3 linked regions of the Neurospora crassa OR74A genome follow. The protein of the gene in region 1 purifies or fractionates together with the protein of each later gene. This does not show direct contact. Links are inferred from orthologs where the notes say so. Each region holds a gene or a part of one and is shown in the gene's direction. Other genes may lie near its edges.

Evidence for each region.
Region 2: the proteins of NCU04463 (region 1) and NCU02808 purify together in Saccharomyces cerevisiae (affinity purification with mass spectrometry, with the first as the bait; 3 studies listed by BioGRID). This does not show direct contact. The link is inferred for Neurospora crassa OR74A from reciprocal best matches to the Saccharomyces cerevisiae genes NUP170 and NSP1.
Region 3: the proteins of NCU04463 (region 1) and NCU09317 purify together in Saccharomyces cerevisiae (affinity purification with mass spectrometry; 3 studies listed by BioGRID). This does not show direct contact. The link is inferred for Neurospora crassa OR74A from reciprocal best matches to the Saccharomyces cerevisiae genes NUP170 and MEX67.

The regions. Positions count from the first base shown.
Region 1 is NC_026504.1:3,273,966-3,281,954, reverse strand, and holds the start of NCU04463 (non-repetitive nucleoporin), read left to right. Parts: upstream 1-3,314; 5' UTR 3,315-3,889; coding exon 3,890-4,271; intron 4,272-4,345; coding exon 4,346-7,521; intron 7,522-7,577; coding exon 7,578-7,989. Other genes in the region: NCU04460 (galactose-1-phosphate uridylyltransferase), read left to right, coding at 1-212; NCU04461 (transmembrane domain-containing protein), read right to left, coding at 430-891, 960-1,025; NCU04462 (3-ketoacyl-CoA reductase), read left to right, coding at 1,613-1,756, 1,828-2,682. UniProt on the Saccharomyces cerevisiae protein: Functions as a component of the nuclear pore complex (NPC).
Region 2 is NC_026501.1:9,051,592-9,059,356, forward strand, and holds NCU02808 (hypothetical protein), read left to right. Parts: upstream 1-2,405; 5' UTR 2,406-3,012; coding exon 3,013-4,863; intron 4,864-4,972; coding exon 4,973-5,170; 3' UTR 5,171-5,520; downstream 5,521-7,765. Other genes in the region: NCU02809 (hypothetical protein), read right to left, coding at 41-849, 1,001-1,402, 1,493-1,568; NCU02807 (uncharacterized protein), read right to left, coding at 6,504-6,543, 6,737-6,868, 6,966-7,081.
Region 3 is NC_026501.1:4,263,241-4,271,305, forward strand, and holds NCU09317 (hypothetical protein), read left to right. Parts: upstream 1-2,833; 5' UTR 2,834-3,360; intron 3,361-3,436; 5' UTR 3,437-3,567; coding exon 3,568-4,005; intron 4,006-4,087; coding exon 4,088-5,608; 3' UTR 5,609-5,993; downstream 5,994-8,065. Other genes in the region: NCU09318 (ATP-dependent DNA helicase mph-1), read right to left, coding at 1-2,345. UniProt on the Saccharomyces cerevisiae protein: Involved in the export of mRNA from the nucleus to the cytoplasm.

The DNA.
Region 1 (7,989 bases):
ATCAGGCGCCGTTGGATTGCACAGAGGAAGAGGCTGAGACGAGCTGGTTCCATATGCATTTCTACCCTCCACTTCTTCGGTCTGCTACCGTGCGCAAGTTCTTGGTCGGATACGAGTTAATGGCTGAGCCGCAGAGGGATATCACTCCGGAGCAAGCGGCTGCGCGACTCAGAGACTGCGGTGGTGAGCTCTATCGCAAGTCGTTGCAGTAGTGGAAATGTATGATGCGCTTGCTTCGCTTCTTGACCGAAAAGGGTATCAATAAGTGGTACATCTTCCACAAAGCCTATCGTCGGAGTCTTATTTCACCTAATACGCGATCGCGCTTCTTATGGTCATGATCCGAGTCCACTCGCCATTCCTTTTTGGGGGCCATGTACTGCTTCCTGCTTTGATTCCCAAAGACCAGCTGGTAGCTGCACCTGTCTTTTACTGGACGTAGTAACCATACTGCAACACCATCCACAACGTGCCGCCATACGCCGCCAAGAAGGGGAAGATCTGAGGTCCGCTGAAACGCAGCGTCTTGTAGATGAAGAACTCGCTCGTAAAGTGCACGGCGGCGATGACATGGGTCCAGATACCGAGCTTGTACAACGACTCGTTCTCGAGGTTGTAGCTCGCATAGAAGCGGATGATGCCGGCCATAAAGGTGTAGGTACCGAAGACGCGGGCCGCCAGCGGCGTGACTTGGTCCTTGGCAGCCGCCTCCTTCTTCTCCGCCTCTGAGGGCGAGACGGGCTTCAGCACGTCCACGCTGTCCTCCGGGCTGAATTTGCCCTTTGCGGGCGGCAGGGAAGGGTTGGGGACGAAACGGCCGTTGTAAAGGCGTCGCGTGTAGTGGAGAGTAGTGTAGTTTTGGAGGGCGTTTCCCATAGCTACGATGGAGACCTGGACGAAGGGCGTGTTAATTGCGAAACCATGTGAAGAGTCAGGGGGACCAGCAACCGTCAACTTACAAAGAAGAGGTAGTAGGGAAGGAGACCCTTCTCGCCCGAAGGCAGGAAAGCCTTGATAGCGTCCATTTGGTTCAAACAGTTATGAAGCGGTTTGTCGTCAGGGAAGAAAGCTATCGTAAGTCCAGGATATTTGTATTGAGAAGACCTTTTGTTGTTGAGGTGTTAGTTGCCCTTCCTGTTGCAGCTCTCCATTTGTTCCAGCGGCTCGAGGATCGGATGGAAACCACACTTCGGGCCACTCTCAAGCGCGAGAGACAGGGGTCATCGTAGCATCATGGACGCAGGTCCACGGGCATTGGACGACATTTTGGAGACAACAAACAAAATCCGCCAGGCTCCCCCTTCTCCTCTATCCATTGGCCCATGGCCAGCTCCGTCGGAGTTCAATGGCGGCGTCGAGTGAGTGATGGTTCGGCAAAAGCGGGGACAACCCAGCTGCCCAGGTCCTCTCGCCGGGGCCGCGGGGCGGGACGTCTCGAAAATCTTGGCGGCTGACACATGCAAGTGTACATAGTAGGCGAGTCGACCCCAGGTCCTCCAAAAAGTTCCCAACAATTATTTGCGACCGGACCCAACTTTGAAAGTGTCACAACTCCCCGATTCAAACCAAAGGCGTTCCTTCATCAACGACTTTCGCCGACAGTCCGTACGCAATGGATAAGGTTGCCGAGATCTGGGGCACTGTCCCTCAATATGGCCAATGGGCCCTTGCTGGCATCGGCGCCCTTTACGTCGCTACTCGCGTCGGCGCTTTCCTCCAGCTGCTCCTTAACGCTTTCATCCTGAGCGGCACCAACGTACGTCTCTTCGCAAACTTACTTGGGACTGAAGATTGTCAGGTGAATGTGGCTAACATCAACCTTGACAGCTCCGCAAGTATGGCAAGAAGGGCACCTGGGCTGTTATCACTGGTGCCTCCGATGGTCTCGGAAAGGAGTTCGCCCAGCAGCTCGCCTCCAAGGGCTTCAACCTCGTTCTCGTCTCTCGCACTCAGTCCAAGCTGGACGTCCTTGCTAGGGAGCTCGAGCTCAGATGGGATGGTTTCAAGGCCAAGACTTTCGCCATGGACTTCTCCAAGGACGACGATTCCGACTACGAGCGTCTCGCCGAGCTCATCAAGGGCCTCGACATTGGTATCTTGATCAACAACGTTGGCCAGTCCCACAGCATCCCCGTTCCTTTCCTCCAGACCGACCGCGACGAGCTCCAGAACATTGTCACCATCAACTGCCTCGGCACACTCAAGACCACCAAGGTTGTCGCTCCCATCCTCGCCCAGCGCAAGAAGGGTCTTATCCTTACCATGGGCTCTTTCGCCGGTGTTATGCCCACCCCCTACCTTGCCACCTACAGCGGCAGCAAGGCGTTCCTCCAGCACTGGAGCAGCGCTCTCTCTGCCGAGCTCAAGGACCAGGGCGTCGATGTCCACCTTGTTGTCAGCTACCTCGTTACCACTGCCATGAGCAAGATCCGCCGCACCAGCCTCCTCATCCCCAACCCCAAGCAGTTCGTCCGCGCTGCTCTCGGCAAGGTTGGCCTCAACAGCTCCGAGCCCTTTCCTAACACCTACACCCCCTGGTGGAGCCATGCTGTGTTCAAGTGGGTTGTTGAGAACACTGTCGGTGCCTACAGCTACTTTACCCTCAGGCTGAACAAGAACATGCACATCGACATCCGCAACCGCGCTCTCCGCAAGGCCGCTCGTGAAGCCAAGAAGCAGTAAGCGCATATCGCAGCTTCTAGCTACCATGTTTCTCACGTGAAGCTGGGAAGGAGCATGGACTTGTGGCATGATGGCTCTAGCCAAAAGACACATCCCATTGGCCTGCGTTACATCCACCCTTCGGACCCTGTATCTATTGTAGAGAAAATGAGAAACTTCGGCCCGTTGTTAGCAGACGAGTTCATAATGTGAGTGGAATGTACAGAAAGCTAAAAGATGATAATTGAACGATGATCATGAAGCAACCATATTTTTGCACAATGTATTTTTGGTACAGATCAAGAGCAGTTGCTGTCTGTCTATAGTTGATATTCTGAGTTGCAAATCCGACTTCTAGTGACGGGCATTCGATGACGTTCTCGACGATGATTGGACGGTTTCGACATTCTATAGGCGGTAGAAAAACATGCTTCCAAAAAGAGGTTAGCGCCTCTTCTGTGGTCCCCGCCGTCCAACTGCTCCGGCACACAGGCGCGTCCAAAATTCGCGTTTCAGGTCGCAGGTCCCAGTTGCCAGCCGCGAAACGACCGCCCTGGGCACCAATGATTCCTGCCCGGTCGCGGTAGAGGTACGTACCGCTGTCCCAGTTCTCCAGCCAAAAATTGTTTACGGTAGCCCGCCGCCGGAGCGGGCCAGCCTCTTCAATCTTCTGCTGTTCATCCACAGTCCACCTTCGACAGTGATTGCCCAATCGCGCGCAGAGCTTCCTTGCTCTCAACACCACAACAACAACTCAACCGCTTTCACCTCAAGCTGTGGTCGCTGCTCCTCGACCACGTCGCATCGTGTTGGACTTTATAGCTTCCCCTGGATTCCCAGACCTTCTTTGATGGTGGTGCAATTGTAGCAGTACACCCACCGACTGCAGCGAGCACCGCGCTCTCGACTTTGTGACCTCAAGCAACCAACCAACCAACCAACCAACTTGGGAGACCTGAAGCAAGAGGGCAAACGAAGCAAGAGCGACAACACAGCATCACAGCAAAGCGCGGAGAATCACGAAGCTGCCAGATCACGCTGCACCCTTGGAGCTCCAACTTGTGCCGACGCCAGATTTCCATCAGCCTCCATCCGCCTCGTTCTGGAGCTTCCCCTCCCCTCGACGCTCGCGACGAACTCTGAACCGCTTTTGCAGGTGGCACCGACAACCATCCCGCTGCCATCCCACCATCGTCCTGTCGGGTGTTAGCATCACATATCCGCCATCATGAATCCAGCCACACCTATGCGCCAAGTGCCCGGTGCATTCCTCAACACGCCCGCTGCGCCCAGGACCGATGATGCTCGACGCTACTTGGACTCGCTTCCTGAAAAGAACACTGCGAGGCCGGTGCTAGGAGGGTTCGGGTCCTATAATGCTGGTGGTGCCGGAGTTGCTTCCGGACCCGTGACTGGGCCCGTTTCGGGCTCTGTTGGCGGCGCCGGTGCTGGAACTGTTGCTGCTCCTCGTCCCGTCTCGCAGGTGCCTGTTCCAATGGTGCCAGCTCAAGCTCGCACAGATCTACCACCGGTTGCCAAGGCCGCGCGGCGCATCACCAATACCCTACTACGTGACGAGAACTACCCCGATGTTGATTCTTATGCTAGAGGTGAGCTTACCTGTTTAGGTTTCCATCCCTCATGGTACCTGGTAGGACTGGCTAACCATGTCTCTCCCAAATAGCTGGCTCCTCCTCGGACTATGACATGTACAGGACTGATGACGCGCCCGGCGCCCCGTTCAAGAAGACTCATATGTATCCCATCCCCGATCAAGTCTTTGAGCGGTTAAACAGGGGAGAGGTCAACACGCAACTCGGCCTATTTGCCGACATCAACTACGCGTGGGCTGCTATTGACAGCTCCCTCTTTCTCTGGGACTATACCCACCCAAACCCCGAACTTATCGGCTACGAGGATGCCACCACCACCATCACCGCGGTTGCCCTAGTGCCCCCCAAACCTGGCGTGTTCGTTAGTAACATCACCCATATTCTAGTCGTTGCTACGGGCACCGAGATAGTTTTGCTGGGCGTATCCGCGACACCTACCCCTTCGGGATCGAAGACCGTCGCCCTCTACCAAACAAAAATGGCAGTACATCGCGGAAGCACCGATGTCAGCTTAATCATCGGTACCTCGAACGGCCGTATCTTCTTTGGCGGTTATACCGATACCGACATCTACGAGCTCCTTTACCAGCAGGAGGAGCGCTGGTTCTCTAGCAGATGTGCCAAGGTCAACCACACACACCCTGGCTGGACATCAGTTGTTCCTAACCTCCCAGTGCCAATGGGCTTCTTGGGCCACCGTGATCAGGAACACCTTGTTCAGCTGGTTGTCGATGATACTCGGAAACTCCTATACTCGCTCTCGGACAAGTCCACCATTCGAACATACTTCATGGAGCCCTCTGGGAAACTGACAAAAGTCATCGAAAAGAACAAGGTCTCGTGCCTTAGTGACATGACGCATATGGTTGACTTGAACAGAAACCCTTTGCTTAACGAGAGAGTGAGAATCGTCTCTCTTAGCGCCATCTCGGCACAAGAAGCCTCAAAGTCTCACCTCATGGCACTCACCAACACCGGATGCCGTTTGTTCCTTACTGCGACGAGCGCGGCATCCTACATGCTGAGCGCCTCAACCAGCCTTGCTCCTCAGAGCATGCAGGTCCAATACATCAAGTTTCCTCCTACGAGCGAAGACCAGCAGGTTCCCCTCCGCAACGAGATCAACACTGCAGTTGCATATGCACCTGCACCTGCAGCAGCTCAAGATCAAATGTCTGGCTTACTTTCGGAAAGTTGCCTTGGTGAACGTTTTCCTCCGGGTTATTTCTTCGACGCGGTTCGACCCAAAGAGAGTCGCACGGATCTGCTCTTTGTATCAGCCCCCGATGTCGGCAGACTTAAGCAGAGCGCTGTACTCAGATATGTTGAGCAAGGTACTTTCATCCCCTTGGGTGACGGAAGCCGAGTTCTTTCCATCGGTCTTACTGGCAACCCTTTTGCGGCTGCAAAACAACCGCTCGGATTTGGCAACGAGCTAGCTGTTCAGTTCGATCATACCCCAAGCGAATTCGCTGTGCTCACCAACACCGGTATCCATATCGTTCGCCGCAGGAGGTTTGTTGACATCTTCGCTAATGCGATTCGTGTCGCATCTGGCGATGAGGATTTGGACAGCAAGGTGAAAACGTTTACGGCCATCTACGGCAGGGTCGAAATGGTCGCGGCTGCCTTGGCGGTAGCATGTGGTCAAGGAGGAGACGCCCGTCGTGCTGTGGATCCTCTTACTGAGGACAGGGCGCGGTCCATCTTCATCAACTACGGTGGTCAGCCCAAGCTTGCGGACGCAGATGTTTTGCAGGCACCGGAGGACAACGTACAGCTCTCGGCTCGCCACGATGCGCTGGTGCTCTATCTTGCGCGCCTCGCCCGCACCCTATGGAAGTCCAAGGTCATTGAGATAGCCACGGATAGCGCTTCGGGCGGGTTCACTGTTGGCTCGGCGATTCCCATCTCCAAGCTCATGACGGTACAGGAAAGTGTGCAACGACTAAGGAGATTCCTTGAGGAAAACAAAAGTCTCATCCAGGGCCTGGCCGGACCCTCCGATCGGGTTTCTAGCAGACAAGAGGAGATCGCTTTGCAGCTGGAGCACCAGTCTCTCCACGCTCTGCGTCAGCTTATGGACAGCGTGTCTGAGGGCATCTCTTTCGTCTTGATGCTGTTCGATGAGCGGGTAACCGACATCTTCATGCGCCTAGATGATTCGTCCAAGCAACAGCTGCAAAACCTTACCTATGAAGCTTTGTTCTCTCAGGACTCTGGAAAGGAGCTCGCCAAGGTTCTGGTGAAGGCTATTGTTAACCGCAACATTGCCAACGGAGCCAATGTCGAGACCGTTGCCGATGCACTCAGGAGAAGATGCGGCACTTTCTGCTCCCCTGATGACGTTGTCATTTTCAAGGCTCAAGAACAACTGCAGCGGGCCAGCGAGTCATCGGGCAATCCTAACCTGATGCGCACCTTGCTTGCGGAGAGCTTGCGATTGTTTTCCCAGGTCGCGGGAAGCCTGACCATGACCAACCTGCGCAACGCGGTCGAACAGTACATCAATTTGAAGTATTACGCTGGTGCTATCCAGCTGTGCTTGATAGTTGCGCGAGAGAAGGACCGTGGAAACGCGGCCCTTGCTTGGTTCAACGAAGGCAAGCCGGCTAACGATCCCCGTGAAAAGGCTTTCAAGGACCGGCAAAGTTGCTATTCCTTGATACATGAGGTCCTTGACCGGCTAGAGATTGAGTCGGCCTCAGAGCCCGATGTTGTTGACGGTAGGCCAACTCTTGCTGCCACCAAGCGGGCGGAGGCATACAGCGTCGTCAATAGCTCAGACGACGAGGTCTTCCACCTTGATTTGTACGACTGGTACATTGAGAAGGGTTGGACCGACCGCATGTTGGCCATCGACTCTCCTCATGTCGTAACGTACCTGCAGAGACTCGCTGCGGTTGATGCTCAGCACGCCGATCTTCTTTGCCGGTTCTACACACAACGCAGCCGCTTCTTCGAGGCTGCTCAAGTGCAGGCTGAGCTCGCCAAGTCAGACTTCCCCCTTGGCATCAAGGAACGCATTACCTTGTTGAGCAGAGCAAAGGCCAACGCCAGCGTCACCACTGTCGGTGTGAGTCGCCAGCAGCAGCAGCTTCTCAACCACGAAGTGACTGAGCTTCTGGAAATTGCCCACATCCAGGACGATTTGCTTGAGAGATTAAGGGCCGATCCTCGCATAGTACCTGAGAAGCTCCCTGACATCGAGAAGGTTCTGGATGGTCCTGTCCAGGGCCTTTCTACTGTGAGTCAATCCCTAAAAGTATGATGCTATTTTAGTTGCTAATCTGTACCATGTAGCTCTTCAACGATTTCGCCGATCAGGCCGGATACTACGACCTTTGCCTGCTCATCTACAACGCCGCGGACTACCAGAACCCGCACACCATCAAAGAGACGTGGGAGAATCTCATCAACCAGATCCACTTTGAGACCGAGCAGAAGCAAGAGGTGTGGCGCCTCATTGAGGCAGGCGAGGCATTGCCCGAGGGTGTCGAGGCTCTTGAAGTTCCACCCCCTATGCCTTACGAGGCTGTTGTCTCCCAGATCCAGTCCATTGCCCACCGCACCTCCCTCGACAGCCTCATCTTCCCCGTCGACACTCTTCTCCCCATGGTCTGCGCCTACGCCATCAACAACCACCAGGACGCCTCGATCGGTGCTGACCCTTGCTGGCCTGTCGCTGCCTTCCTGCAGCTGGGCGTTCCTCATG
Region 2 (7,765 bases), on another chromosome or scaffold:
TGTGTTGGACGTAGAGGGAGTAACTGGGTTGGGGACTTACGAAGGATAATGAGGACTGCGGTTGTTGTGGTTGCGGCTGAGGAGCAGGTGCTGGAGCTGAGAACCCTTCGGCTTCTTGGAAGTCATCGTCGTCAAAGCCGGCATCGTCAAAGTCGCCAAAGTCAGCATCGTTGTTGGCCTCGGCTCCCTCCTCAAAGTCGTCAAAGTCATCCCCAAAGTCATCGGCGCCAGCCGGAGCTGGCTCAGCAAAGTCGTCCCCAAAGTCGTCATCACCAAACCCGTCATCGTCGGGGGCTTTATCCCCTGCTTCAGCAAATCCGTCGTCGTCGTCGTTGTCGAACCCATCTTTTTCAACAGGCTTCTCCTCTTTCTGGTCAAAGCTGACATCGTCCTTCTTGTCCTCTTCTGGCTCGACCTTCTTCTCGTTCTCTTGACTGGGTTCTGCCTCGTCGAAGTGGTCCTCTGTGTCTTCTTCCTTTGTATCTTGCGTCTCAAGCTCTTCGCTGGCATCCTCGAACTCGTCTCCTTTCAATGCTTCTTCGGTGTCGCGGTCTTTTGACTGTTCCTCCTCGTGCTTCTCGTCCTCCACCTCTCCATCTTGAGCCTGCTCAGTCTTGACCTCTACATTCTCCTCCTCCTTCTTGGATTCATCTTCATCGGCGTCTTCGTCGTCGGCGGTCTTGGCGTTGTCTCGTACGACATTGTCGTGCGCGTCATCTTTTGCCTCCTCCTTTTCTAGAAGACTGGGCCCCAATGAGGGCGAGTCAGGGGATGGCTGGTCTAGATCAGATGACGAGTCTCTAGAATGGATCGAGGCGGGACTCTTTAATGCAGGTGGTATTGGTGTATCTACGCAGGAAAACGTAAAGTCAATACAAAGGAGATCTTGTATAATTTGCTGGCTCAAAAAAAAACAAACAAACAGGCATGTGCTTGTGAAAGTGTGTGTGTGTGCGCGCGCGTGTGTGTGTGGCTAGAAAGAAGTGCTACGCATCCGTACCATTGTCACCACCCTTCTCATGCTCGACCTTTTGCCCATCCGCCTTGACAAGCACGTCGGGAGGACTGTCAACCCTGTGCCTCGCTTCGATCTCATGGTGGGTGACGGCACCAGTGCTATCTGGCGTCTCCTCCACTACGGTCATGGGAATGGGGCGCCCGCCTGGAGTGGACGGCCGGCGCTGGTCATGCTCCTCGGTCGAGAGCTTGGTGTCTGGGTCTGGGATAATGGCAAATTCATCCGGCTTCGCGTCCCCTTCCCTCATAGAATACGCCTTGGTCCCCGGGACCTCTCCATACGCCGGCTTGTCGTCTACTCTCTCGACTCTTGTTCGCGGGATGGGCGAGGAGGGAGCTTTGGGAGAAGAGATGGCATCGGAGTAGTGATCTTCGGTGTCGGAGCCTGTTGTCGCGTAGAATGAATGGTTAGTTGGATATCCATGTGCCGACTTTGTCCAGAGGTCTCCCAAGTTCCCCATCAGCTGTAACCTACCAGGTAGCTCATGAGCGCCCGGGTCCATGGTCCCCTGCCTCTCGGGAGGCGACAGACTGTTCCTGCGCGAAGCCATTGTGATCTCGAAGCGTAGTCGCGGCGGTCTATACGATCAAAGAACAAGAGGATTTCCGACTATGGTGAGTGCTGAAGGAAGCGCAGAAATGTATATGGTAGGTAGGAAGCAAGATAGGTGTATGTATATGTATATGGATATGGATATGGATATGGGAGGATCGGGATCGGGGATCGGGGGGCCAAGGTGAGGACTGAGGAGTGATGTAGTTGGTGTGGGGTGCTACAGTATGTTTACTGCTGTGAGGGACAGGACTGGAGTGTCCTATAACAAGACGGGAGTAAGCCGACTCTTATACTCTGCAGGAGATAGGTCAATTGCACGCAGCAGATGGCCTGAGGTCAAAGTGAACTGAATCAAGATTGGGTATGCACACAGACGTTGCGGCTGACTTGTGGCATCCCAATGTCCAGACGATGGACAGCAATGTGTGTGGAGAGAGACGAGAGAAAGGAACAGCTTCCGGATGGCCTAGAGTTAGTCTAGAGGATGGGCTCACGATGGCCTAATCTAGAACATGGGGTAACCACCACCCCAAGCTTTCCGAGACGACTGAACGGGGCTCCTGCTTCTTGCTCGGCTACCCTGGGACGGTGCGGTACGGTACGGTACGGTATGGTACTAAGGTACCGCCGTGTCCGGAAACTGTATGGTAACTCGCTGCGTAATGTGCTGCAACCAGACGGTCCAGTCAGAATGCAGAAGAGCATCACGGCAAGTGGAAAGTCAGCACTTCGCTTCAGTTTATGAGGCCCGCCCCGTCATTGCTCAAGTTCTCCGTCAGTTGTCGAACTGCCGTCAAGCCACATATTGATTGGCCGTGCACGCTTGGCACTTGCTAGTAAAATGTTAGACGGGGTAGGTGAGGTGAGGCTGACCACTTCACCTGGGGCTGACTCGTTGCAGTGGTGACTGGAGTGCTCCAATAAGCGGGAAATGCTTGGCCTTGTTGAGTGCGCGTCCGGGTCCCCAGAAGGGGAAAAGCCCAGGCGCGCTGCAGCACCTCCAAAAAAGTGGAAAGGCCTGTCGCGACGGACGGAACCTTGACAAACAGAGACCGAGAGACTGAGTGACGCTGCCACACTTTCTTTGCTTTCTCCAATCCACGCCCAAACGACGTCCACGTCCACTCCACCAAACGGATTCCGAACCGACGTCCAAAACTCGCGATCCGATAACCACGGCTGGACCATTGCATCACTTACTCAAAACCGAGATCGCGCCGATCTTCCTCTTCGCATTTCAACGAATCGTTGCTTGGGTTTCCGCGCGCTCCCTGTTGTTGTTGAGGTAACCGCAACAGCCTTGGGAAGTGGGACGCTGTTGTTGACTTTCTAGATTTTGGTTGACGACGACTACCCAACCACCAACGCCTCATCCATCCATCCAACCAACCAACCCCGAAACCTCGACATCATATCGTCAGCCTCACATAATCGCAATCATGTCATTCTTCGGTACACCAAGCTCCAGCGCGGCCTCGGGCCAACCAGCAACAACTGCTACATCCGGTGGTCTCTTCGGAGCCTCCTCCTTCGGCACCCCAGCAGCGAGCTCGACACAGCCAGCCGGTAGCTTGTTTGGCGCTAAGCCTACAGATGCCTCGAAACCTGGAGGACTATTCGGAGCCAATACCACCTCGACTACACCTTCGCTTTTCGGCTCTGCTTCCAACACTGCCGGAGGAGGCAGCACGACGCCTGGCGCAGGCTTGTTTGGAAACACCACTGCCAACACATCGACAACCCCCGCCGCTGGTGGCTCGAACTTGTTTGGTGGCGGGGCCAGCACCACACCCGCAACAGGAGCTCCTTCGGGAGGTCTGTTTGGAAACAATGCTTCTACTACTCCGGCTACCGGTGGTCTCTTCGGAGCTGGCGCCAACTCTCAGACGACGCCGGCTAAGACCTCGTTTGGACTAGGATCGACTACCCCAGCCGGTGCACCACCTGCTGCTGACGCTTCCAAGGCCGCGCCCTCTCTCTTTGGTGCTACCCAGCCTGCCTCTGGCAACCTCTTTGGAGGAGGAGGAGCCTCGAGTACCCCGACCACAACCCCTGCCCCCACCTCGGGAACAACACCATCTCTGTTCGGAGCGAAGCCAGCCGAGACCACCACCTCTGGCACCACTTCTGGTCTCTTTGGCGCCAAGCCAGCCGAGCCTGCGTCCAGCACAACTCCCGCGACGACAGCCACTTCCGGATCTACTCTCTTTGGCGCGAAGCCTGCGACCAGCGGTGGCAGCCTGTTTGGCGGAGCCTCGACAACCCCGGCTACGACATCGACCACGACCACCACAGCACCAGCAACTTCCGGCCTCTTTGGTGCCAACACAAGCAAGCCGGCCGAAGCCGCAAAGCCAGCTACGGGTGGTCTGTTCGGCGCCACTCCTGCTACCTCAGCTCCTGCCACCTCTACCACCACTGCTGCTTCCGGCAGTCTGTTCGGCGCCAACAAGGATGCTACCACTACCTCTACTGCCCCAGCATCAGGAGGCTTGTTTGGATCGACTACGCCTTCGACGACCACAACCACGGCGCCTGCTCCTTCGTCTTCGACCACAACTAGCGGCCTCTTCGGTGCGGCCACCACCAAGCCCGCCACTACCACAGCGGCCACCACCACTGCCGGTGGGAGCACCACCGCCACTGCTGGAACCACCAGCAGTCTCTTTGGAGGAGGAGCCAAGCCTGCGGACACCACCACCTCCAAAACCACCACCAACAACACCACTACTGCCGCCGGCACCACCAGCACCACCGGCAACCTCGCCTCCACGACCACCGGCCCCACTTCTACTCTCCCGCGGTTGAAGAACAAGACCATGGATGAAATCATCACCCGCTGGGCCACCGATCTCTCCAAGTACCAGAAGGAATTCAAGTCGCAAGCCGCCAAGGTGGCCGAATGGGACCGCCTCCTGGTCGAAAACGGCGAGAAGATCCAGAAGCTGTACACCAGCACGTACGAGGCCGAAAAGGCCAGCAACGAGATCGAGCGCCAGCTCTCGGGCGTCGAGTCGCAGCAGGACGAGCTGACCGCGTGGCTGGACCAGTACGAGGCACAGCTGGAGGAGTTGTTCAAGAAGCAGCAGCTTGGATCCGGCGGCGAGTCAAAGGCTGCTGGCGGTGTTGGCGACGGCTTGGGCCCCGATCAGGAGCGCGAGAGGACGTATAAGCTTGCCGAGAAGCTGACGGATAGGCTGGATGAGATGGGCAAGGATTTGGCCAAGATGATCAAGGAGATAAATGATATGACGGGCACGTTGAGCAAGGGGAGCAAGCCTGATGATCCGGTATGTTTTTCTCTCTCCCTTTTTTTTCTCCTCCTTTTTCTCTCCTTTTTCTCCATTTTTCCCTTATTTTATCCAATCACTAACGCACACGATAAACAAAACACAACAGCTCAGCCAAATCGTCCGTGTCCTCAACGGTCACCTTCACCAGCTTCAGTGGATCGACCAAAACGCCGCCGACCTCCAAGCCAAGGTGGCCGCTGCCCAAAAGGCTACCAGCGGCATGGGTGCCCACCAAGGCGTCAACGAGTCGGATGCCGCTCAGAGCTTTTACCGCTCGTACAGGGCCGGTGGTGTGAACAGGTGAAGGGAAAGGGAAGGGAAGGGAAGGGAAATAAATGGGCTTTGATGATGCTGTATTGTAGGAAGCTAAAGTAAAGTGAAGTATGAGTGAAAGAGAAAGAGAAAGAGGCTGAAGAATCGGATGGCGGCGAACTTGTCTGTGTGTGTGTGTGTGTGTTCAGTTTTGAGTACCCTACCTACCCTAGTTTGTTGGTTTGTTGGTTTGTTGGTTTGTTTTGTTAGTCTGTGAAAGACCATCATGGTATGATTTGAAACGTCTTGTATATGTATCGTGGCTGTGGATGGGGGGGGATCGATGATGTTAATTTACGTAGCTGAGATCTGTCTGTCTGTCTGGCTTTGGGATGGGTTAGGAGACAAGAAAAAAGGCTATGCTATGCTAGGCTGGGCTAGGCCACTTATTCTAGGTTGTGGAAGCAAAAATCAATAAACAAGATGGGTTCAAGGTAATGGCCACAGTCCAAAAAGGGGTTCATTACATCTGGAAGGGAGTTCATGTGTCTGTTTTTTTCGATATATTGTCTTCATATGATGTCGAGTGAATATCATACATATCGGACTGCCGAACTGTACATATAGGTACCGACTGCCAGGAGTTTCATTTTGAAAACCGAGACGTAGAGCATCATTGTTGTGACTCAGAACGTCGGTGGGTATCAGTGAAATTTCTTATAAGACGGACTTGAAGTTGTTAATACTTCAGTAAAGTACCGTCCCGTCTGCTTTCTTTTTCATGTTCCATGTAAGTGGCATTAAGATAATGAAGAGTCTTGAGTCTGGATCAAAGTAACTAGGTTTTGAAAAAAAAAATTAGTTACGGAACTACGTAGGCTGGCTTGCTTTCCTGATAACTTCATTACTCTTCAGCCGCATTATGAGATTCTGGTTCAAGGGCAAGCCGATGAACCCAATATCGCCCCTACTGCAGCACAGGAACTGTTCGACTCGTTTTGGACTTTCTCATAAGCTCGGTTCTGTCACGGTTTTGCTTTAGACACTTGTTCGTCCCATTGATGCAACTTGTGAGGTCCATAGGTCCCCCGGTCGTGATTTTGTGATCATCGATCATGGCTTTGCTCGCTATATTGCTACAAGGGGTAAGTTTGAGATATGTGTAAGATGACACTCATCCTCGGCGCGCCGTCCGTCCCCGTAGCCCAAGTCCCATCCTTTCTTAACCCCCCCAAATCCTTGGCCCCTTCTCATTTCATTGCATTCATACTGCGTAGGCGTAGTGGCGTGTGTAGCGATGGGACGTCGCGAGAGGGAATGATAATAAGCAGAGGAAGAAGAAAAAAAAATATGTTTATGGGTTGTTATTGTTGCTTGTTGTTCGTTTAGTTGCGCTCGCCGCCCTGCTCCCTGGTGATCTCGTCACTGTTTCTCGAATGTTAGTAACTGCCTTGTTTTTAGAACTTTCTTTTATTTGTGAAGGAGAATCGAGGCCCGGCTTCCTCTGATGATGGTGTGCGTAGCTGACTACGGCCCATATGATGCGCGCCCGGCCTGGTGTGTTTGTGGCGACTATGCGCCGGTGGTGGCTGTTGGCTGGCTGATGGGTCGTTCTTACATGTGATCAGAAAGAGTCTTGAGGTGCTTCTGCTGCTCGGCGAGCTTCTTCTTGAGCTCGAGGAGCTTCTCCTTCTCGCGCTGGCGGATAGCGAAATCCTCGTTGGCCTTCTCGCGGCGCTGGAAAGCGTCACTGGAATGGGAGGGTATGATGTCAGCGGGTTTGAACTAGTTGGAGTCGCCGCGTATCCACGTGCGCGTGCGAGGAACGCGGCGGAACAAAAACTCACCCTGGGCCGCCGGTCTTTGGGGGAGCACCAGTCTCACCGGCGAGAGCGCGGGAGGTGGTCGCAAACGCCCTGGAAACGGTAGGGCGAGCGAGCTTGGAGACGGTGGTGCGGAGCATCTTGATGGTTGGTTTGGTGGTTTGGTTGGACTAGAGTGACGTGGGTTAAGCTTTAGCGGATGGGGTCTCTTTTCTTAGGTTGGCGTGCCAGAAGACAGATTTGATGGGTGATTTGATTAAAAAGAGTTGAGTGTATGTATGGGAGAAGATGTGTTACAACAGTTGGACAGTCGCGGAAGTTGGTGTAAGCTACCTTTTTCTATTGAATCGTCGAGTTAGTTGTCAATGCGATTACGTTGTGTAGGCGATGGTGATCCAATTGCGTAGTGTACACTTGCTTGGGATGACCTGACGAAAACTGGAGACTGGAGTTCGGGGACGGGGATGGAGCTTCTCGGGTCCGCAGGGACGTCGAAGCTCGGTTCTGTTCTCCAGCGAATGTCGTCGCGGGTTGGGGGTTTGTACGTACCTTACCTTCCATACCGGGACAAGGCTCAAGGCTCGTGGCTTCTGGCGCCGACTTGCTCCGCCTGTCCGCTGACGGCTCGGCTGTGGCAGTCGCTGACAGTTGGCAGCTTTACCGCAATCGGGTTGGATCAGACAAACCTAGTTCTCGCCTGAGGCAGCAGTTTGTTGCGACGACACTCGACAGTGTTCTTTGCGCAAGCTTCCATGGCACGCTCAACCCCACTGCCCCGCCAAACCTAGCTCACCCCTCTTCCCACTTTCAGCTGTCTTGCTGGG
Region 3 (8,065 bases), on another chromosome or scaffold:
CCGAGGGGTATCTTTGTATAGTTTCTGCGGAGCTCGTTTTCCTGCGACGTGCTCAGCAAAATGCTTTCGAGTTTGGGCCGTTCGGCAATAAAGTCAGTTTCCTTAGGCGCAGGTGGCCTAGCGGGTGGTTTGGCTGTCTTAGCTCCAGCTTGACCAAAGAAAGAAGCCTTGATGAACCCTGTTTCAACACCGTCAGGCATGTTGAACTTCTTCTTTGCCGGCTTTGTCCTCATTCTTGCGGCAGATCTTTTTGGTTCTGGGAGCTCTGGATTTTGGGAGTTCTCAAGTGGAATCTCCACAACCTTCTTTTCCACCTCAGGTCGTATGTCTCGTGGCACAATACGTGAAGAAAGGTCGTGACGAAAGGTAAAGCGGCTGCCCTCGCATATCATTCTCTGCATGGTCGCGTAGTTGTCCTTCGCCTCGTTGAATTTGTCTTCCTCTTTCCCTTTCATCAACAAAAGTACAATGTTACCCGCTCTCTTGCGGCCGGTACGACCCATACGCTGAAGCATTCGGATCGGTGACGCTGATGCATCGTAGCAGACAATGAGATCCACTTGGCCAATATCAAGACCCTCCTCGCCAATGGATGTTGCGACCAGAACGTTGTGAGCGCCGTTCTTGAACTTCTCGATCGTCTCAATTTGTTGTTTCTGTTTCATGCCCTCACTCCTCTTCGAGTCCGCTTGTCCAACGAAGACTGTGGCCTTGATAAGGGGTTGCTTGTTGAGAATGCGCACAATCTCTTCGGCACTGTCTCGGTATTCACTGAATACAATGGCTCTGGTATTGGAGCCCTCGCCAGCATCCATGAAGTGGTTGACCAGGGTCTCACAAAGATATTCCAGCTTGGGGTGTCCGAGGAACCCATCAATCTTCATCCAACCCTCAATCATGTCCATCATCTTCTGAAAGTTCTCATCCTCCAAGACTTGCCGCTTGAGCTTTGACCCTTTTCCTCCTTTCTCCTCCTCGGTGGTGCGGAATTCGGCCAGATTATTGTAGAACGGTTTGATTCCATGGAAGTTGAGTAGTTTGATGGAATGCGCCAAACTCTGGAGAATCGCAAATGTGGCTATGACACTGAATTTGGTTCCTTGGTTTACGTGCCTACCCGGACCTGCCATCCAGTCATTCCTGGCTTTCATCAGGCCGTAGGTAGTCAGGCTCATGGGGTCCCTGCCGTAGTATATATTTTGTGAACTCAGCTTGGTCACAAGGGGCTTCAGGGCCTTGGAGAACAAGTCTCTGACTTCCATCATTTCGTCAGAGGGGTCGAATGTTATCGTGTTGATGTCTCTTGAGTGCACATATTGACGAATGTCGATTGACTCTTCGGTTCTGATCTCGACGTGAGAAATGCCCAGATTATCAATGACGTCCTGAACACCTTCGAGAGACGATCCTGGTGTAGCAGTCAGAGCAAGAATTCGAAAGCTCTTGGAGAAACGCCTTAAAAATTCGACCACCTTGACGTATGCATAGTCTCCAGTCGCACGATGCGCCTCGTCAATAACCAGCAGTACGATGGACTTGGGATCGGCATAGCCCTTGGAAAGGTCATTCATTAGTGTTTGGGGTGTCATGAAGAACAGGCGCTTTGTTGCCCATTCGTCCTCACGTAGAACAGGAGGAGTCTCTCCGGTTAGGAGAGTCGCCTGAGATCGCGGGATGCCCGCTATGCTGAGACATGCTTGAACTTGTTGTGAAGCAAGGGGTTTCGTAGGAGCAACAAAGACAGCCTTTGCGGTTTTTGTCCAGCGGATGTAGTTTAGCATGATTGTCGCAGCAATAAATGTCTTTCCCAAACCCGTGGGGAGGGCGACCAATGTGTTGTTGAAGAGGCCATTTTTGACAATGCTGAACTGGTAGTCTCGAATAGGTCCCAGATTCATCGGATAAACCCATGTTTTCATTTCTTCTATGTCAATCTCATGGTGAGTGGGCTGCTCTGGGGGCATATCGGCACGGAATGGTCGATTCGACACCGCTTGCGGGGCGGGTTGCGCATCCTCCTCCAGCGTGCCACCCCATAGTGTCGTCTGACGCAGATTCTTACGCTGGCTGGACTGAGCTAGGGACGGGCGAGACGTTGTCGCTGACGTGGTCGGCTTGCTTGCTGTTTTGGCACGCCCTGTAGCTGTAGCCTGACCCTGCGATACGGTTGGAGTAACGATTCGTCTTGCAGAATCGGATATTGGCCACGCTTGTGCTGGTGGTTTTGCCGACGAGGCAAGCTGCTTGCTGTTGCTGGGGTGATGTGATGTGATGTTGCCGGTGGCCTGGGTGAAGGCCAACATCAAATCCTCATCAGGAATATCGTCAAAGTCATCGTCATCCATGACTTGAGAGTTGTGAGGTTGTAGAAAAGAAAGAACCTTGACGATTCGAGATTCGATGCGCCGATGCTTGGGCAGTTAATACAACCGGACTTTGTTTTCTTGCCTTTTTTTTTTAAACTTCTTGTTCTGGTGATGAAACTTAAGGCTTGTCGGATGAAATTCTTGGAAGTGAAACAATTGACATTCATAACAGTCCGTTTGCATAGGTGAACCGACCCTATCGTCACACAAGCCCGGCCTGATATGAGACGCGTCGCTGTTTTAATGGACGGGCTATTCCCTTGACACGTTCCATCGCCATAGCACGTGAATTGGTGTGGGCAGTCTGGGTGCTGCCGCCTGGGGAGTTCGCAGCAGAACAGCGTCAGAGTGGGGCTGTTGCATCTTGGGTGGGGCAGGTTTGCGTCAAAATCCGATCGCTTGTCTCTGTGGTCCGCTGGAGCCTGGCGCACTGGTCGGAGCTTGGCTCATTGCCTTGAGTTCAAGTTGCATGCTCCTCCACTGCCGCCGCTAAGGTATTTCCTTTTTGGAGGTCCGGCAGGCTGAACCTTCTTTCTTCCATTCTCCAATCCGTCATCGAAACCTTCCTCATTTCTCGACCTTCTCGCGTCGTCAGTTGGCATCGGCAGCCCAACAAACTCTTCAGTACTGACCGGCTGATGACTCTTGCGCATCCTCGTACTCGCCCGTTGCTTCAGAGCTAGCAGCTTCCGTACGCATATTCAACCAACGATCACGAGCGAAGCGGCGGCCTTCTACTTCTACTTCCGTACCTTTGGATCTCCGCGTCGTCTTTGTCGCCCCACCTCCAAGCATCTTTTACATCTTTCTTTACCTCGACAAATCCCTTTAGAGAAGCGCACCTAGACTCTAAGCGAAGTGTCCTTTGACACCTATCTGGGCCACTCTCAAATACAGCGTCCCAAATCCACCCAGCGGTGATCAATCCCCGGTCGGCATCGGCCGCCTGTTTTTCTTGAGCAGGCCGCTCTCCCGCCTAACGGCGACACCAAAGGTAAGCCTCGACTCTGCATCTTAGTACCCTTCCCCAGTTCCCCCGACCACGACCGGAACTTTGACCATCGGGGCAGCGAAGAAGTCGGCGAACAAGGACAACTCGCAACTCCACGACTCACTGTCCTTTCATCAACAACTCGGCGAGAAAAAAAAATCACCCGCAACTCACACCGAACGTTTTCTCTTCAGAATTCAACGAACAACCATGGCACCTCCTACTGGTCCTCGCGCCGGAACTGGAAGGGCTCCTCCTCGTGGACCCCGAGCAACAGGCGGCGGTGGCGGAATCCAGAAGCGTCGCGCAAACCCGAGGACGGACCGAGATGGAGATGTGTCAATGGATGCTCCGGCTGGTGGCTCTGGTAGGGGTGGGTTGGCTTCCGGTGGTCGAGGACGTGGCTCCAAAGATGCTCGAGGTGGAAGAGGTGCGGTGAACTCCCGGACAGCATCCCGGGTCGTGCAGAACCTACAGAACTACGTCAGCGGAGGTCCCGTCGGCAAAACACAGTCCAATATGGCCACACTGAAGATTCACGGTATGAGCAATAGCAAAGCTACCGGCAATCGCGATGGAGGGCTTCGGTCACTTCTCACCTTTCTGGAACGAAAGGCTTCCAAAGACAAAGCAGTTACAATCGGCAAGGTATACTTTCCCATCCACCGACATCCCCAAGCGCGCAATATTCTGCAACTGCGATAACCGACACCTTCTAACCCATCGATAGAGTATAATGGACGGCGATTATGTGTGGATCACGGTCAGAAAAGATGACGCCCCGGAGATCTTGAGGCTCAATGGCTTCACCTATGCCGGTGCACCCCTGACGATTACGGAAACCACCGAGAGGATGCCTCGCCCCGAAGACAAGATTTCCAAGGCTGCTGAGGAGACCAAACAAAAATTGACAGCAGTGCTAGCTGCGCGCTACAATCCAGAGTTGAAGCTGCTTGACTTATCTTCTCTTGGAACCGATCCCATCCTCAGCAGCATGGGCACGTTTGATTCCAAGGATCGGGCCGAAAAGGCCTTCAAGGTCTTGGTAGTTATTGCTAGTCAGCAGTACAAGACCGCTGCCGAAAAGCGTGAAGGGATACAGGCCATTTCCCTTGCTAGCAACGGCCTTAACGACGTCATGCAGGTTTTCACGCTTGCTACGTCACTTCCAGATATCAAGAGACTTGACCTGAGCAGCAACAACCTCGACAGTCTGTCCAAGATCTCCAAGTGGCAGCACCGCTTTCAGTACCTCGAAGAGCTTCATCTCACAGGCAACCCCATCACCACCCAGCCCGACTTCGTGGCAGAACTCATCAAATGGTTCCCATCGCTACAGAACATCAACGGACAAATTGTTCGCAGCCCACAAGAGGTTACTGAGGCCCTCAAGGGCATGCACCCCACGCCACTACCGCAGTTCCCCTCCAACCTACGGGACGGGGAGGCCAATGTGGCGAGCATCTTTGTCCAAGTTTTCTTCCCCATGTTCGACAGCGACAGAGCTCGCCTCGCCGCTGAGTTCTACGACGACGACTCGTGGTTTTCGATTCAAGCCATTGCCAATTCTGGTCGTAATCTTCCTTGGAAAACTTACCTCAAATACTCCCGCAACGTTCACAAATTGGGAGAGAAGAATCCAGCAACGGTACAACGTCTCTTCACCGGAGGAAATCTCATTGCGGACATGTGGAAGGCTCTCCCCAGTACTCGCCATCCAAGCATGGAGAACCCTGGTGCCTGGCTCATCGACTGCCACACCTTCCCCAACCTCGCGGACCCCACCGGCCACGGCTTCGCTACGGGATTGCTCATCACCGTCAATGGCCAGTTTGAAGAGTCCGATACTACAGAAAACCTCTACGGAAAGCGCACCTTCACGCGCACGTTCATTCTTGGACCCAGCAAGCCGAGCAACCCGCCGCCGGTGCACCCATACCGGGTTATTAGCGATCAACTCACCCTTCATGACTGGACACCCGCGGAGACACCTGCTGGTCAGGCCCCTGTCGCCAACCAGGTCCCGCAGGTTCCGGTTACCAACGCTGTGCCTCCAGCAGAACCTGTCATGTTGGATGATGCCACGAAGAACCAGCTGATTCAGGAGGTGATGAAGCGGACTGGCATGACAGCAGAATACTCAGAGTTGTGTCTCAGTGGCACTGCCAACTGGAACTTTGAGCTGGCACTCAAGTCATTCGAGGAGCAGAGGGCGAACTTGCCGCCCACGGCCTTTATCAACGCTGTCTAGGGGACAGCGCAGGTCACCAGCGTCAGCATGGTTTGTTAGTTCATGGTGGATCAGCGCTAGTTGGGTAAATACCCTCTGCCTGGATGAGTTGGAGACAAAGGAAAAGGAAGACAAAAACTACTGAAAGCCAAGGAACGAAGACTGGGAAAGAGGAAAGGGTTTAAGGGTCAAGGATGAACTTTGTACAATACTTGCATTGCCATACTATCTCAAGGGAGCAACGGAATGGGTCGGTTAGCGGAATTCTTATAAGGCGGTCACTCGACTTGATATTGCGGAAACTTAGCGTGCGTTAACAATTGAGATACCTGGAGCTCTTTTGGGCTTTGACCAAAGAGTCTCCCACATTCACGGTTTTTTTTCATCTAATTATAATCTCTTTTATTAATATTTTCTCCTATTTGGGTGAGGACGCTTACGGAAGATGCTCGAGCGTAATTGGTACACAACGTTCATGCTGGTCAGGCCCAGTAGCTTAACCACCGTGAAATTGGTAACCACGGTTGTGATAAAGTACGAGATCACACAGCTAATAAGATCTCGAAGCCGCGCGCCATTCTTGGCGATTGGGGTTTGGTGGTGAGCATCTGATTGTTGGTTTCCCCATCATGCGACGTTTCTTGAATCGCTGCTCCACTGCGGCCACTGCCACCCCGGCAGTGGATCGGTACCTGCATCTGTCGATCTTTCATAGGGCGGCTTTGGGAGAAAAATGCTGAGTGGTCCTGGTACGATGAGCAGTCATCATCACCTGTTTGGCCTCGTCCAATGGGCGCCGGCAAGAGTTTTATCGGATGAGGGGTAGTATGGGCGCTTACTTGTATTGATCTTGGTTGTTACGACTTACGATGGGGAAACAATCATGTTCGACACTTGAACCTGAGTGAGAGCCAGGAATAAATTTTCCGTTGAGGATTGGCTTTTTCTACGCTTTTCGCTTTTCGGCGATCGGTTAGGTGATCGGTTATCTATCATCAGTGGGAGTGATCGACATTTCATATGCTGGCTAAAGGTATGTGATCGATTAGATGAAAGACGACCAAGCGGATGTGAATACTTATATAATCGCGGGAGTTGCGACTTGTCATCCTTCAATTGAAGCCTTGTGTTGAGTAAGTGTGAGGTAAGGTAGTTTTCTCCAGCCAGAACCCATCACTGCATTCCAATGGTCGGCGAAAGTTGAGTTTCTATTGATCCTTTCCGTACGCCAGGACGCCATTCCTCGTCTCGCATTGCATTCTCGCCCACAACATGCGGCACATATAAAAACGTGTGTGACAAGTGTGCGTGTGCGTGACTGCGAGAGACGTGACCAAGTAGATACATGTGGGGATTTTGTACCTCAGTCTTGCTTGTTGTAGTGTAGGTTTGCTGCTGGGTAGGTGGATGAGAACAATCTCAGAGACTTCCTTTATCCTAATTCAAATAGCGATAGTTAGAAAGTATACGGACAAGAGAAGGCATCGGCCAAGATGCAGTTGGGCAGCGTAGAAACAGAAGCGCCTTAGCACTTGGCCACCATTCTCAGATTCCACAAAAACAGAGAGAAAACATGGAGTTGTTTACTTATCACATTCCCCTGGCAACTCAGAAATTTGCGCGCAAGAAGCCTGTGGGAAGATGGCATATTACCGCGCTAACTGAGGAATTTGAGATGGCGCCCATCCATTCCCACTCCGTGTTGCCCCATGTGATGAATGCAAATAACTTGAATTTTGTTATCGCACTTTTCGATGGAAGATTGGCTAGAAGCACACGACTTGGCTATGATCTTACAACGTCGCACAAGTACCTCTAGTCACTATGTCTAGTCAGGTACACTACATACCAGGAAGAAGGGCAGACACATCACCCACCGCTACCTACACACTGTGCCGTCAAAATGCACAACACCTGCATGTGGAGAGTTTCTACGCTGGGAAGGTCGATATGTACCTCATTATAGCACTGACTACGATAGATTATGATTGCTGACGCAAACGTCATCTTCCGGATATCAAGAATATCTGACATTGTGTGTAAGGTTCCTTGACTCCCTGCGGGTTTGCTTGGCTCAGTCTTGGTTGATTGCTTTGCCGGCCTGCTGCCGAATGGTTCATTAAGGGGGGGAGCCACTCTTGGTCTGTGCAAGATGACATGATGGGATGAACCGGTCATTGGTGGTGGTGTTCGTGTTCCATCTCCGAACTGCTCGAAGCACACGCAATGCCGCCAATGCAACAAATGAGAAGAGAAATGATGAAGAAAAGAGAAGCGACAGACGAAAGAGAAGGGACCCCACACTTAACTCCACCGAGGGTATTCCCCGTTCTCCACCTACCTGTCCTGCCAAGCGGGGGATGGTTGGAAGGTGGAGCATTCAGGTGGTGTTTCAAGTTCTAGCGAGGGGAGTCGCGGACAAGGGCACGAGGCAAGACGAAGGATGAAAGAAAAAAGCGAGAGGAGCAACTGAAGGCT